Anolis sagrei: one gene and its partner. The protein of the gene in region 1 interacts with the protein of each later gene in a pairwise test. Links are inferred from orthologs where the notes say so. Each region holds a gene or a part of one and is shown in the gene's direction. Other genes may lie near its edges.

Region 1 (8,780 bases):
GAACTCCTTCTCCCAATCCTTTTTTCCCCTCTTGTACTGGAACTTTGCAGTTGATATCATAGACTCCCACACTTGGATGCTTTGGGTTGGGTACACAAACCCAACAATGAGCTGCCTGGAGGGCACACCTACGCCTTACTTTCCATACAATTCCACTAATAGCAAAGGTGAATCAAATTTGCTGATGCAGCAAACCCTGATTTTTGCTCCTGACTAACAACAGATATGTTGTGCAAGAGTCATACAAGAATCTAGCACAAATTGCTTCTTCCACAAGCAGGCCAAAACTTTTCTCTGTCAGCAGGTACTTGGGGAAGGATAAGAGGCAAGTTGCAGGGGAGGATGTGGGAGTGGGGGTGGGATTTGTCTGTGTGTTTTGGATGCATTTTAATTGTATTTATTGCATTTAATTGTATTTTTAACCTAAAACACACAGTACTGTTTAGTTGATTTTTAATTTTTGTATTTGCTTTGTTTTAAATTGAGTGTGTGGTTGTTAACCACCTTGAGTTTCCTTGGGGAGAAAGGCAGGGGATAAATAAAGTAAATAAGTAAATAAATGCCACACTGTGCAAGAGTATGTTAAATATACAGCATGTTTTCTGCAGGTGACAAAAGATTTGATCTGGGAGATCTGGCAGCAGGTTGCAGGCGTACCATTAGAGAGACTAGTGGAGAGACTGGTTAGCCGGACTGCTCCAAACCACCACGGTCAGCATAGAGGGAATGAGGTGACTGAAGGAACTAATCTTCTGCGGAGGCCCTCCTTTTGCTCCCACCACTGTCACAAATACAGTTGGTGGGGACGAGATGGAGGGCCTTCTCAGTAGTGCTCCCCCGCCTCTGGAATGCCCTTCCAAGGTAAATAAGACAGGCCCCATCCCTCCCCTCCTTGTGTAAGAGCTTGAAGACCTGGTGGTTTCAACAAGCCTTTGAGAATGACCAGTTCCAGTCCAGCCCCAAACATTGTGAAATATGGCCTTGCACTTCTTACCTATTACCCCGGTCATCCCTCTAATAGGCCCTGGAAATGAGCAGCCACAGACCCGTACCTACTATCGCTGTTGGCCTGTTATACTTAATTCCCAGCACTAGCCTTGGCCCAGCTTTTTAATTGCTAAACAGGTAGGATTATTTTTAATATACACGTGTTATTGTGATAATTTTATGCTTATGTTGTTTTGTTAATTTTATGTTATGCTGATTACTTGTATGTTTCGGTGATGTTATTTGGAAGTCCCCCTGAGTCCCCCCTTGGGGAGATAGAGCAGTATATAAATAAAGTTTTCATTATCATCATCATCATCATCAAGGTCACCTTGACACCAAATGCAAACTTTTCTAGCTTGGAATAAATTACTTTGAGCACTATGTCCTTGGAGAAGCTGCTGGAGAGATTCATTTGCTTCCTTCTGTGTCTAATTGCTCTAGACCTTGATGAGTCATCTAGAACATAGGAACATGATACAGAGTCAAACTATTGGGTCATTTAACAAAGCATGAACAAATATAAGCAGTTTTCTACAATTTCAGACAAGACTGTTTTGTAAACCTACCCAGAGGTCCAAAATTGAAAGCGTATACTTTAACACTGAACCGTTCTCCAGAATGAGCACATCATTTGTCTCTGTTATTTATCTGCTTCAGAAATTGCCCACCAACCTGTTTGAACCATAATCGTTTTGAAAAAGGATCCATTCTTCTGCTTGATTTAATTCAGCAGAAGCAAATGCAGTTCAGATTTATCATTATGGCTCAGCAAGGCAGAGGTTCTTTACCACTTTCAGTGTTGATGTTCCAGAGCTTCATCACATGTGAATATATGCATGAACACACACACACCTCCACCTTGTTTTGGTTTGGGCCTGGAATGCTGCATTGTAAATGTCTGCTTGATATTACAAGCCACTCTCAACTACCAGATTAAAGGCATGTCTAAACAAGTATGATACATAACGCATAAGTGCATTCAATGGCACTGCAAGGTATTATGACAAAGTAAAAAGCATTTTTGAAATAACATACTATAATTGTCTCTACATCAGCATTTCCTACAGTTAGAAAAAACAGAGAAGACATAAGGTTCACAAAATGAACAATAATGGTATTTCAAATGAACAGATCAACGAATGCTTTCAGATTTGTCACCATTTTCTCTTTTACATTTCACTTTTCTTTAGGAGTGTTGAAGTCCAAAACACCTGGAGGGCTGAAATTTGCCCATGCCTGTTCTACACTGTAGAATTAATGCAATTTGACACACTTTAACTGCCGTGACTACCAGCTATGAAATCAAGGCTGTTGTAATTTTACAAGTTTTTTTTAGCCTTCTCTGCCAAAGAGAGCTGGTGCAACTACTTCGACTCTATAGTAATAATAAATAACAACAACAACAACAACAACAACAACAACAACCTTTATTTATACCCTGCCACCATCTCCCCAATGGGGACTTGGGGCGGCTGACATGAGGCCAATCTCAAAAAATACAATACAACACAATAAAATACAGAATGCAAAAACAAAAACTTACATCAGAAACTAATTAGTACAGTAGCAACATAAAACAATAGAGCAAATTAACACCATATAAAAGTCAAATTGGAAGTGCAGGCCAGATAGACAAGATAAAATGATAATATAATAAAAACCCTGGGTGAGGTAGGAATAGAAAATGTGTAAGTAAGGGGAGCCCAGTAAGGATAAAACAGTGGGGTAAGGCTTTCAGTCTAGGGCAGAGGAAAATGCAACATAGGGGCAACACTATAAATGGGGCAAAGAGAAGTGGAATAAATGGTCACTCTCCGAAGGCACATCAGAAAAACCAGGTTTTCAAGTTTTTCTTGAAGTCTGCTAAGGAGGTGGCTTGCCTAATCTCACCAGGTAGTGAGTGCTAAAGACGGGGAGCCACAGCGGAGAAGGCTTTCTCCCTCATTCCCACAAGTCTTGCCTGTGATAAAGGGAGTATTAAACCATAGCAGTTAAAGTGGGATTAAACAGCATTATTTCAACAGTGTGGATCAATCAACCCCATTCTTTGACTATTTCGAGTACTTCTAACTCCCAGGGCATTTCCAGACAGGCTCTATATCCCAGGATCTCTGCTTTGAACTGGATTATATGAGTCCCAACTGTCAGATAATCTGGGACCCCTTCCACACAGCTGAATAAAATCCCACATTTTCTGCTTTATTTAATTATTTATTATTTTCTGCTTTGAACTGGACCATATGGCAGTGTGGACTCAGATAACCCAGTTCAAAGCAGATACTGTGGGGGTTTTTTTTTTTTGCCTTGATATTCTGGATTTAATGGCTGTGTGGAAGGGCTCTGAGATAATAATAAATAATAATAATATAATAATAAAACTTATTTATACCCCGCTACCATCTCCCAAGGGACTCGGTGCGGCTTACATGAGGCCGAGCCCAGAATACATCAATACATGCAATAACAACCACAGTACAAAGCAAAATACAAATACTAAAACAAAGCAATTAAAAATAAAACTCACACATAAATAGCACAAACATTGAACAATAGCACAAAACACATTTAAAATCTATGGCTGGGCCAAATGTAATTAAAGTTAAAAAAATAATGCTGGGCATAAACAAGATAGAGGAGGTAGGGCGTTGGTGAAAACATACAAGCAAGCCTAAATTAGTATAAAGTGCTTTTAGAGGACATAATGCTAAGGGTTCATTATTCTGGGAAGGCACACTGGAACAACCACGTTTTCAAGCTCCTCCTAAAGCCTGCCAAAGTTGGGGTATGCCTGATGCCCTTAGGAAGTGAGTTCCAGAGACGAGGGGCCACCACCGAGAAGGCCTTCTCTCGTCCCCACCAATCATGCTTGCGATGCAGGTGGGAGCATGAGTAGGGCCTATCCAGATGATCGAAGAGATCGTGTGGGTTAGTACACAGGAATGTGGTCAACAGATCCTGGATATAGGGCCTGTCTGGAAGCCACTGCCAGTTTGGCCAAGGGTCAGTCATATCTTTGTAAACAGAGGCTGGATGGCCATTTGTCAGGGGTGTTTTGAATGCAATATTCCTGCTTCTAGGCAGGGGGTTGGACTGGATGGCCCATGAGGTCTCTTCCAACTCTTTGATTCTATGATTCTAAGGGCCTTGAGATAAACAGATCCTGGATATAGGGCCTGTCTGAAAGCCACAGCCAGTTTGGCCGAGGGTCAGTCATATCTTTGTAAACAGAGGCTGGATGGCCATCTGTCAGGGGTGCTTTGAATGCAATATTCCTGCTTCTAGGCAGGGGGTTGGACTGGATGGCCCATGAGGTGTCTTCCAACTCTTTGATTCTATGATTCTAAGGGCTTTGAGATAAACAGATCCTGGATATAGGGCCTGTCTGAAAGCCACAGCCAGTTTGGCCAAGGGTCAGTCATATCTTTGTAAACAGAGGCTGGATGGCCATCTGTCAGGGGTGCTTTGAATGCAGTATTCCTGCTTCTAGGCAGGGGGTTGGACTGGATGGCCCATGAGGTCTCTTCCAACTCTGTGATTCTAAGCACAAAGCATGGGGAAGAACACTGGTATGGCTGCAACCAAACCTACAGCCAGATCTAGTCAAGACGGAACATACCATTCGTATAAAAGGGTTGAATTCCTTCATTTTCTTTGATTCAGATCGTATTAAAAACAGGGCTGGGCTAAACCAAGAATAGGTGTGAGGCCTAATAAGTAGACTCAACGTGGGAGGAACGAGAGGGGGGGTGTTGAAAAGATTGGTCTTTGTTTCAACTCCTCCCCCTGCGAAGGACGAAACCATCGTGCCCTGTTGCCATGGCTACCGCGCGGCATCCTCTCCCGCCTCTCCGCGGCCCGGCTGGTCCAATGGGAGAAGCGGAGGGAGGGAGAGCCGGAGGAGGGGCGTGTCCTTGCCGGAAAGGGCGTGTCCTCACCCGCCGGAAGTGCCTGCCTGCAGGAGCCGCAGGGTGTGTATATGTGCTGGAGGAGCCACGGTTGGGAAGCCGGAGTCGTCTTCACTCGCCTCTCTGCCTTACCGGGACCCGCCTGAGGTGAGTGAGAGGCCTCTCCCAGGCCAGGCCCGGCCCTTCCGCCGATTGCTTGCCTTCCCCTCCTTCCCTCCCTCCTCCTCCTCTTCTGTGGGCTTCTGGGGAAGGCCTTGCTTTTCTCGTTGCTCTGAAGGCGCTCGCCTAACGGGCCTAAGCCGGCGGCACCGCCTTTGTCGCGAGGTGTTTCCCGGCTTGGCCTCCTTCCTTCCTTCCTTCTTCCCTCTCTCGCTCCCGCTCTCCGTCCTCGCCTTGGATGCCAGCCTGGAAGCGGCCCCGCCCTGCCTCTGGGTGAGTCACCTTCTTCCGCCCAGGGCCGGGCGCTCACCTGGGAGGAGGAGGCGGAGGAGGAGGAGGGGAGGAAGGAAGGAAGGAAACCGAGCCCTTCAGGCCACGCGCTGCTTCAGGCCGAGAAAGAAGAAGAAGAAGAAGAAGAAGAGAAAGGCCCTTTCTTCGCTCCCTACCTGAGGGGGCATGATCTGCACCATCCAATGGACACAGCCTGGCCCTGGCTCAACAATAAGAATACTTTATGTATAACCCGTCCTATCTCCCCGAGGGGACTCAGGGCGGTTAACAACAGGCATCAGCCAATATTCAATTCCGTGAGAAGCTGAACAAAGACAAAAACAACCTCCCCCCCTCACATCCCAAAAACAAATCCACAACTACATCAAAAATGTATTGTCGAAGGCTTTCATGGCAGAGAGGAAACAACCAGGCACATCTTAACACCTCTCAACAAAAGATTTTCCCAGGCTCAGCCAGGCCTTCAAATGCTAATGAAGGTGGTCAGTTGAAACATTCACACCTAACTGCAGCAGGGAAGAGCTCTTTGCCCCACCCCAGCCATTCCACAGATATATAAACCCATTGTCCTAATTCCAACAGACCTCACTACCTCTGAGGATGCTTGCCATAGATGCAGGCGAAACGTCAGGAGAAATGCCTCTAGAACATGGCCCTATAGCCCGAAAAAAACCCACAAGAACCTACATCAAAAATAATAACACATTAGTAATATTATATGTAATATATAATAATCTATATAAATGGCCCTATAGCCTTGGAAAAAACCCACAAGAACCTACATCAAAAATAATAACACATTAGTAATATTATATGTGATATATAATAATCTATATAAATAAATGAGTAATGTTCGTTGCCCTGGCTCAACAATAAGATTACTTTATTTATAACCCGCCCTATCTCCCCGAGGGGATTCAGGGCGGTTAACAACAGGCATCAGCAAATATTCAATGCTGTGGGAAGCTGAACAAAGACAAAAACAATCTCCCCCCCCCCCCCCCCACATGCCAACGGGCCAAAAACAAATTCACAACTACATCAAAAATAATAACATGTTAGTAATATTATATGTGATATATAATCTATATAAATACAAATGTAATGTTCATTTATGGGATTAACACAACTCAAAAACCACTGGACGTATTGACACCAGATTTGGCCACAAGACACCTAACAACCCAATGTATGTCCTTCACTCATATAAACACTGAAAAACACAGCAGAACTCAAAAACCACTGGGGGAATTGACACCAGATTTGGCCACAAGAGACCCAACAACCCAATGTATGTCTTTGACTCATAAAAACACAGCAGAAGGGACTGAAAAAGCCCCAAAGAGCTAAATGACAAAAAGCTAAACGACAATACAGAAAAAAGGAAAGAAAGAGGGAGGGAAGGGGAGAAAAGAGAAAGAAAAGAAAGGGGGGAGGGAGAGAAAGAAGTAAAGGGATAAGGAAGGAAAGAAGTAGAGAAGGAATAAAGGAGAGAAAGAGGGAGGGAAAGAAAAAGGGGGAAGGAAGGAACGAGGTAGAGAAGGAAAGACAGGAAGGAAGGAAGGAAAGAGGGAGTGAAGGAAAGAGAGAAAGAGGGAAGGTTGGCCACAGCAACTCATGGCGGGTACAGCTAGTCTATATAAATAAAAATGTAATGTTCGTTTGTGGGATTAACAGAACTCAAAAACCACTGGGGGAATTGACACCAAATTTGGACACAATACACCTAACAACCCAATGTATGTCCTTCACTCAAAAAAAATTGATTTTGTCATTTGTGAGTTGTAGTTGCTGGGATTTATAGTTCACCTACAATCAAAGAGCATTCTGAACTCCACCAATGATGGAATTGGGTCAAACTTAGCACAAACCCATGACCATGGCATACAGGACTTCCATGACCAACAGAACACACTAAGGGTTTGGTGGGCATTGACCTTGAGTTTGGGAGTTGTAGTTCACCTACATCCAGAGAGAAATGGGGCAAACTTCCCACACAGAACCCCCATGACCAACAGAAAATACTTAAGGCCATCCAGTCCAACTCTCTTCACCAGGGCAAGAAAATGTAATCAGAGCCCTCCTGACAAAGAGCCATCCAGTCATAAATATAGAGAGATAGATATGATTCTCACACAGAGAGAGAGAGAGAGAGATAGTATCATAGATTTGAAAGAGACCCTTAAAGAATGACTATGATATGTTGCATATTCCAGAGTAGGCAAACCAGACACTCTCCACATCAACACTGACAAAGAAACAACAAGAAATACTGTTTACTCACAAGCATAAAGGAATTACATATATTAGAAACCAACACTTTCTCATTACTTTATTTTCCAGATCACCAGACTGGGCCACAGTAGTGTGGCAGGGGACAGCTAGTCTATATAAATAAAAATGTAATGTTCGTTTGTGGGATTAACATAGCTCCAAAACCACTGGGAGAATTGACACCAAATTTGGCCACAAGACACCTACTAACCCAAGGAGTGACCATCATTCAAAAATTGATTTTGTCATTTGGGAGTTGCAGTTGCTGGGATTTATAGTTTACATACAAGCAAAGAGCATTCTGAACCCCACCAATTCTGGAATTGAACCAAATGTGGTACACAGGACTCCCATGACCAACAAAAAACACTAGAAGGGTTTGGTAAGCATTGACCTTGAGTTTGGGAGTTGTAGTTCACCTACATACAGAGAGCACTGTGGACTCAAACAATGATGGATCTGGACCAAACTTATAATAATAATAATAATAATAATAATAATAATCATCTTTATTTATACCCCGCTACCATCTCCCCAAGGGACTCAGTGCGGCTTACATGAGGCCGAGACCACAACACATCAATAATAAAACAATAGCAAACAAACAATACAAAACAGTTAAAATACATCTTATAAACAAAAATAAAATATAAGCAGTACAGTAACACAACAAGCATTTAAAACCCTTGGCTGGGCCAAATGTAAAATTAAAATTAAAAAAATTATGCTGGAAATGAGCAAGGTAGGATATAACTGGGATGGAGATTTTCAGAGGGGTTAGGGCGTGCAGATCAATCAATCCTAAATCAATAATACAGTGCACATTCAGGGCATATTGCTGAGAAATTAATTATTTTGGAAAGGCACACTGGAACAACCACGTTTTCAGGCTCCTCCTAAAAATTGTCAGAGTTGGGGCATCCCGGATGCCCTTGGGAACTTGGCACGAATATTCCATATGCCCAAATATGAACCCAGATGGAGTTTGGGGAAAATAGACCTTGACATTTGGGAGTTGTAGTTAGTGATATTTATAGTTCACCTACCATCAGAGAGCATGCTGAACCTCACCAACGACAGAATTGGGGCAAATTTCCCACACAGAACCCCCATGACCAACAGAAAATACTTAAGGCCATCCAGTCCAACTCTCTTCACCAG
Region 2 (8,157 bases), on another chromosome or scaffold:
CGAGAGAAGGAGGAAAGGGGGAAGGAAGGACAAAAGGGTGGAAGGAAAGGATGGAAGAAGAAAGAAGGAGGGAGGTAAGGAGGAAGGAAGGAGAGAAGGAAAGACAAAAGGGAAGGAAGGATGAATGGGCGGAAGGGAAGTATGGACAGTAGGAAAGGAATGAGGAAGGAAAGAGACAAGGAAGGAAGGATAGGATGGTGTGAGAGAGGAGGGCCTGAGATGATGATTATGATAATAATAATAGTAACAAATAATTTAATAGTTAATAATAAATCATTATTTTTATTGGATACACAACAAAATTGGTACACAGCAAAAAAAGATCACTGTGCTGGCAGGTGGTCAGTGGTTTGCTCCTCTCTACATTTGCATGTCGTGGATTCCACTTTGTAGCTCCGTTTCTGAAGGTTGGCTCTGCATCTCATGGTGCCAGAGCGCAGTCTGTTCAGCGCCTTCCAAGTCGCCCAGTCCTCTGTGTGCCCAGGGGGTGTATCACGTGGTGTCTACATCCTACACCACTGGAGAAATTACACTGCTTAGCCGGTATTGCACCACCTGACATCCACCGGGAAGTAGCAGACAATAGTGAAAGGACCAAGGCAGAGACATCTCCAGCTCATCCCCTGTTTGGGTATCAGCCAGCACATCAACGACTTAAATCTAGAAATAGTTTTCTAAGATTTACAGAGGCACTTGCTGGAACACCTCAGCAAGCGAGAGTCCAAAAGTGGCAGGCTCAAACCCAGAACCTCAACCAATGGCTGATACCAAATGAGACCCCCCCCCCTCCCCGGGCACACAGAGGACTGGGCGACTTGGAAAGCGCTGAACAGACTGCACCAGACAGACAGACAAAATACAAAATTTGTGAGTTTGGTAGTTGATTAAATAGCCACTTGGAGTGCTTCTGGTGTTGCTGCAAGAAGGTCCTCCATTGTGCATGTGGCAGGGCTCAGGTTGCATTGCAGCAGGTGGTCAGTGGTTTGCTCCTCTCCACACTCGCATGTCGAGGATTCCACTTTGTGGCACCACGAGATGCAGAGCCAACCTTCAGAAATGGGGCCACAAAGTGGAATCCTCGACATGCGAGTGTGGAGAGGAGCAAACCACTGACCACCTGCTGCAATGCAACCTGAGCCCTGCCACATGCACAATGGAGGACCTTCTTGCAGCAACACCAGAAGCACTCCAAGTGGCCATTTAATCAACTACCAAACTCACAAATTTTGTATTTTGTCTGTCTGTTTGCTTTGTTCTGTTAGAAATGTAATATAATATGACTGGTTGTCCTGACATGACAAATAAAATAAATTATTATTATGTATTGTCGAAGGCTTTCATGGCTGGAATCACTAGGTTCTTGTGGGTTTTTTCGGGCTATAGGGTCATGTTCTAGAGGCATTTCTCCTGACGTTTCGCCTGCATCTATGGCAAGCATCCTCAGAGGTAGTGAGGATGCTTGCCATAGATGCAGGCGAAACATCAGGAGAAATGCATCTAGAACATGGCCCTATAGCTCGAAAAACCCCACAAGAACCTACAAATTATTATTACGCAGAAGTTGTTTTCTGGGTTCCAAAGGAGCCTGCCGACTCACCTTGTCCTGACTCACCTGGGCAAAGTACAGGTTCATGAGGGTCAAGGTGAAGAACTGGAGGCAGACGGGGCAGCAGTAGAGGAGCCAGAAGAAGAAGGGGCTCAAGCGGTTGGCCTTGAGGGTGTTGCGGAAGTAGAAGGAGAAGAGGGTGGTGCGCAGGGCAGCCCAGAGCAGGCAGAGGAAGAGGAAGACCGTCTGGTAGCTGAGCTTCTTGTGCCGGTAGAAGAGCACCAGCCATAGCTGGGCGTAGACCGAGAGGAAGAGAGCGGCGTAGAGGGCCGTGTAGAGTGCCGTCAAGCCCACCTTCACGGCTGGCGGGAAGGCCGGTGTGAGGCGAGAGGCGGGCACCACAACCGTACTGAGGTTGCCCAGGGCCTTCTCCATTATCTCAGGAGGCATCCCAACGTGGTTAGAAGCCTGGGGGGCGGCACCACCACGCTCTCAAGATGGCGGAGCTGCCCCCCAACAAGCGGGAGAGTGGGTCACATCCTTAGGGCCGAGAGAGCCTTCTTCAGCGGAGGAACCGAAGGCCGCTTCCATGAGAAGGATGCCCTTGAGGTGCCCTCACTTTAGGAGGAGAAAGAAGAAGAAGCCCTTCCCAAAAGACTGGTACTCCACTTAGGCCTCAATTCAGACCTGCCCTCAATTTGGGAACCTCCCCCAAGAAAGAAGGTGCTCCCCTCAAGGCTTGACACTTGCCCCAGGTGTTTCACAGCCTCACTTCCTGTCAAACACCTGCTTCCTCTCAACCTTCAGGTATCTACAACCCCAACTGGAGTCCTTTCCCCTCCATTTGCCACAATGGCAGCCTCAGTGGGCCCACTTCCTGTCAAACACCTCCCCTCAGGTACCTACAGCCCTTATTCCTTCCCCCGCCGGAAGCCCAGCTCGTAAAGAGTCCCCCTTTCCCCCACTTCCGGTCCAGATTTAGGAGCCCCCCTCTGCCTGTGCCTCAGCCTGGTTCCCAAAGCACCTGCTTCCCTGCCCGGGTCTGCGCCAAGTGCGTAAGGCCCGCCCCCTTTAAGTAGGCGGCGCTTTGTTACGTCAAGGGCGTAAACGGCGTCGTGAATGCAGCGGAGTGCGCAAGGCTGTCCTTAGAGTGGCCCCGCTCTTTCCGGGCGCCATCTTGAGTGTGGCTCCTTGAGCAAGATATAGGGCGCCATCTTGAGTGTGGCCCAAATGGCTCATTTAGCAAGGTGTAGGTTGACCCTACTCCTGCTTGTTTGCATGGTGGGCCTATATAAGGCAGCTTGGAAGACATTGAACGCCACTATAGGGGTCCCCATATATATAATATGTGGCCAGTATCCATTATATTACATTATATTATAGGGTGGGCCCATATAATGCAATCTGAAATACATTAAGCTCCATTATATGGATCTCTCTCTTATGTGTAGTCAGTGCCATATATATATATATAAACACACATACATATACATATAGGGTCATGGTAGACCCATATAATGCAATCTGGACTGCATTGGCCTCCATTACATGAGTCTCCATATATATTATATATGACCAGTACCATCTATATATATATATATATATATATATATATATATATATATATATATATATGGATGGTACTGGCCATATATAATATATACCATGACCCATATATATATATATTATATATATATATTATAGGACTAGGGTAAATGCATATAATGCAATCTGGAATACACTGAGTTCCATTATATGGATCTACAGATATATTATATATATAATATATATGTAGATCCATATAATGGAACTCAGTGCGTCTACCCTAGCCCTATAATATATATATATATATGACATTGACATATATCATGTATAATATATATGTAGATCCATATAATGGAGCTCAGTGCGTCCACCCTAGCCCTATAATATATATATATATATATATATATATATATGATATTGACCATATATCCTATATAATATATATGTAGATCCATATAATGGAGCTCAGTGCATTCCAGACTACATTATATGCATCTACCCTGGCCCTATAATATATATATGGCACTGACCATATATAATATATATGTAGATCCATATAATGGAGCTCAGTGGCCATATATATACATATGCATATACATATACTTATACATATACATATACATATACACATATACATATACATATATATATATATATAATAGGGCCACTCATATAATGCAGTCTGGAGTATCTACATATATAATATATATATATATATATATATATATATATGTAGATACTCCATTCCAACCCTATATATATATATATATATATATATATATATATGGGGTTGGAATGGAGTATCTACACACACACACATATATTATAGGGCCACTCATATAGTGCAGTCTGGAGTATCTACATATATATGTGGCCAGTGCCTTATAATACATTATGTTGCATTACATTGTATTACATAGGGTCAGTGTACGCCCATCTACTGCAGTTTGAACAGCATTGATTCTACAGTGCAAACCTATCCCTAGATCTGGATGGCTTGCTGCACAGGTTTAGGTCACGTGCTCCCAGATTGTGTTCCCGGGCAGAGCGCTCCGGGAACAGCCAATGGCAAGCCACCCCGGCGCGGAAGGTAGCCAATAGGAAACGCCGGGGGCGGGGCTTCGGGAATAAAAAATTACAAAGGTGGGCGGGGCCTGCCTTGCAGCGGGAGTCCCCGCCCCTTAGCCGTGACGTCGAGAGATGTGATTGGACGCAGGGAGTGGCAGTCCTCCATCGCCCGGGCGACAGTGGCAGGGAAGAGCCAGGCTGTAAACACGAGCCGTGTCGAGAGAGTGAGGCAGCTTTGCTTGAGGTAAGGAGGATCGGGGCCTGGGAGGGAGGCAGGATTATCATTAGATCTTGGCTCTAATCATAATAATATGCTGGAATAGATGGATTTGGAGCCTGGAAGGGAGGAAGGAGCAGGACATCAACAATGGCTGCACCAGGAAATGCCTCTGATCAGTCAGAAAGGAAGCCCAGGCTGGGATGGCATGGGAAGCACACTCTCCCATCACTGTGAGGGAGGTTTTGAAGCAGAGTCTGACTGGCTATCTGTTGGGAGGGCTTTGATGGTGTCTTCCTATGGCAGAATGGGGTTGGACTGGATGGCCCACTACCCAGCTCTATATATGCTGATGAGCTAGGCCTAACAACACAAGCAGAAGACTTTGAAACAATTAGGGACAGGTAATCATCTCCCAACAAAGGATTCCCCCAGGCTGTAAGAAGCCACACCTTGAAACTGCTAGGCCATTAAATGCTAATCAAGGTGGCCAACTGAAACATTCACGCCTACCTCCAACAGACAAGAGTTCTTTCTCCCACCCTGGACATTATAAACCCCACTTTCCCAGTTTCCAAGTGCCAGCTAACACCTCCCAACAAAGGATTCCCCCAGGCAAGCTTTCAGTGCTAATCAAGGTGTCCAATTGAAATATTCACACCAACCTCCAACAGACAAGAGTTCTTTCTCCCACCCTGGACATTATCAACCCCACTTGCCTAACACCTCCCAACAAAGGATTCCCCCAGGCAAGCTTTCAATGCTAATCAAGGTAGCCAATTGAAACACTCACACTAACCTCCAACAGACAAGAGTTCTTTCTCCCAACCTGGACATTACTCCACAGGTATATAAACCCCACTTGCTTAGTTTCCATGTGCCAGCTTACACCTCCCAACAAAGGATTCCCCCAGGCAGGCTTTGAAGCTGCAAGGCCATTCAATGCTAATCAAGCTGGCCAATTGAAACATTCACACCTACCTCCAATAGACAAGAGTTCTTTCTCCCACCCAGGATATTATTCCACAGGAATATAAACCCCACGTGCCTAGTTTCCAAGTGCCAGCTAACACCTCCCAAAAAAGGATTCCCCCAGGCAAGCTTTCAGTGCTAATCAAGGTGGCCAATTGAAATATTCACACCTATCTCCCAACAGACAAGAGTTCTTTCTCCCACCCTGGACATTATAAACCCCACTTGTCTAGTTTCCAAGTGCCAGATAACACCTCCCAACAAAGGATTCCCCCAGGCAGGCTTTGAAGCTGCAAGGCCATTCAATGCTAATCAAGGTGGCCAATTGAAACATTCACATCAACCTCCAACAGACGAGTTCTTTCTCCCACCCTGGACATTATAAACCCCACTTTCCCAGTTTCCAAGTGCCATTTAACACCTCCCAACAAAGGATTCCCCCAGGCAGGCTTTGAAGCTGCAAGGCCATTGAGTGCTAATCAAGGTGGCCAACTGAAACATTCACGCCTACCTCCAACAGACAAGAGTTCTTTCTCCCACCCTGGACATTATAAACCCCACGCTCCTAACACCTCCCAACAAAGGATTCCCCCAGGCAGGCTTTGAAGCTGCAAGGCCATTCAATGCTAATCAAGGTGGCTAATTGAAACACTCACACCAACCTCCAACAGACAAGAGTTCTTTCGCCCACCCTGGACATTATAAACCCCACTTGCCTAACACCTCCCAACAAATGATTCCCCCAGGCGGCCTTTGAAGCTGCAAGGCCATTCAGTGCTAATCAAGGTGGCCTAACTCCAACAGACAAGAGTTCTTTCTCCCAACCTGGACATTATAAACCCTATTTGCCTAGTTTCCAAATGCCAGCTAACACCTCCCAACAAAGGATTCCCCCAGGCAGTAAGAAGCCACACCTTGAAACTGCTAGGCCATTCAATGCTGATCAAGGTGGCCAACTGAAACATTCACGCCTACCTCCAACAGACAAGAGTTCTTTCTCCAACCCTGGACATTATAAACCCCACTTGCCTAACACCTCCCAACAAAGGATTCCCCCAGGCAGGCTTTGAAGCTGCAAGGCCATTCAATGCTAATCAAGGTGTCCAATTGAAACATTCACACCAACCTCCAACAGACCAGAGTTCTTTCTCCCACCCTGGATCTTATAAACCCCACTTGCCTAACACCTCCCAACAAAGGATTCCCCCAGGCAGGCTTTGAAGCTGCAAGGCCATTCAGTGCAAGTCAAGGTGGCCAATTGAAACATTCACACCAACCTCCAACAGACAAGAGTTCTTTCTCCAACCCTGGACATTATAAACCCCACTTGCCTATTTCCCAAGTGCCAGCTAACACCTCCCAACAAAGGATTCCCCCAGGCAAGCTTTCAGTGCTAATCAAGGTGGCCAATTGAAACATTCACACCAACCTCCAACAGACAAGAGTTCTTTCTCCAACCCTGGACATTATAAACCCCACTTTCCCAGTTTCCAAGTGCCAGCTAACACCTCCCAACAAAGGATTCCCCCATGCAGGCTTTGAAGCTACAAGGCCATTCAATGCCAATCAAGGTGGCCAATTGAAACATTCACACCTACCTCCAACAGATAAGAGTTCTTTCTCCCACCTTGGACATGATTCCACAGGTATATAAACCTTAGTATTACTATATTACAATCTTTTTATTATATTATATTGTATTTTATTATATATTATTATATTGTATTTTATCCGTTTTATACTTATGTATGCTATGCTTTTGACATGAAATAAAAAAAATAAAACCAGCTCAATAATAATTTTTATTTATTTATTTATTTATTTGTCGTGTCAGAGCAACCAGTCCATTATATATTAATATTAATAATAATAATTATATTAATTAATTATATTAATAATTATATTAATAATTATTATATTAATATATATATTAATATGTTAATTATTATTGTTATATAATTTTATTATATATTATTATATTGTATTTTATCCGTTTTATACTTATGTATGCTATGCTTTTGACATGAAATAAAAAAATAAAACCAGCTCAATAATAATTTATTTTTATTTATTTATTTATTTGTCGTGTCAGAGCAACCAGTCCATTATATATTAATATTAATAATAATAATTATATTAATTATATTAATTAATTATATTAATAATTATATTAATAATTATTATATTAATATATATTAATATATTAATTATTATATTAGTAATTATTATATTTATAATTATATTAATATATTAATTATTATATTAATAATTATTATATTAATAATTATATTAATATATTAATTATTATATTAATAATTATTATATTAATAATTATATTAATAATAATAATAATAATAATAATCTTTATTTACAACCATCTCCCCAAAGGGGACTTGGGGTGGCTAACATGAAGCCAAGCCCAAAAATAATACAACATAATTAAACACAAAACCGCAAAGGGGGAAAATCATAACAAAATATACGAAATATTTCTAGCTCATTTAATTTTGTACCTTTCCGCTCAAAAAGTATTCTCGACGCCTGAGAGGCAATTCCTGTCCCGACATGTTAGTAACCGGAGCGAGACCTGAATCATGGACTTCCTGGTTTGCAGATGAGCCCTTAGTCACTATTTCCACTCTTGTTTTGACCTTCTTCCTCCTTCCTCTGCAGACAAGCTCGCTGCCCTGCTTCCCCCTGGAGAGCGGCGGGTCGCGGGACGGGGGCCATGAGAGCCCCCTGACCATGTTCCAGATTGCGGAGTACCATGACGACGACGCTTTCCCGACTGCCGAGAAGGAGCCGCGGG

What was found. The genes of interacting proteins can lie anywhere in the genome.
Region 2: the proteins of YWHAB (region 1) and BAD interact in binary tests that used the Homo sapiens proteins (3 or more experiments, as listed by UniProt). The link is inferred for Anolis sagrei from reciprocal best matches to the Homo sapiens genes YWHAB and BAD.

The regions. Positions count from the first base shown.
Region 1 is NC_090024.1:217,747,888-217,756,667, reverse strand, and holds the start of YWHAB (14-3-3 protein beta/alpha), read left to right. Parts: upstream 1-4,894; 5' UTR 4,895-5,042; intron 5,043-8,780. UniProt on the Homo sapiens protein: Adapter protein implicated in the regulation of a large spectrum of both general and specialized signaling pathways. Binds to a large number of partners, usually by recognition of a phosphoserine or phosphothreonine motif.
Region 2 is NC_090032.1:16,529,397-16,537,553, reverse strand, and holds the start of BAD (bcl2-associated agonist of cell death), read left to right. Parts: upstream 1-4,290; 5' UTR 4,291-4,403; intron 4,404-8,021; 5' UTR 8,022-8,093; coding exon 8,094-8,157. Other genes in the region: integral membrane protein GPR137, read right to left, coding at 1,598-1,996. UniProt on the Homo sapiens protein: Promotes cell death. Successfully competes for the binding to Bcl-X(L), Bcl-2 and Bcl-W, thereby affecting the level of heterodimerization of these proteins with BAX. Can reverse the death repressor activity of Bcl-X(L), but not that of Bcl-2.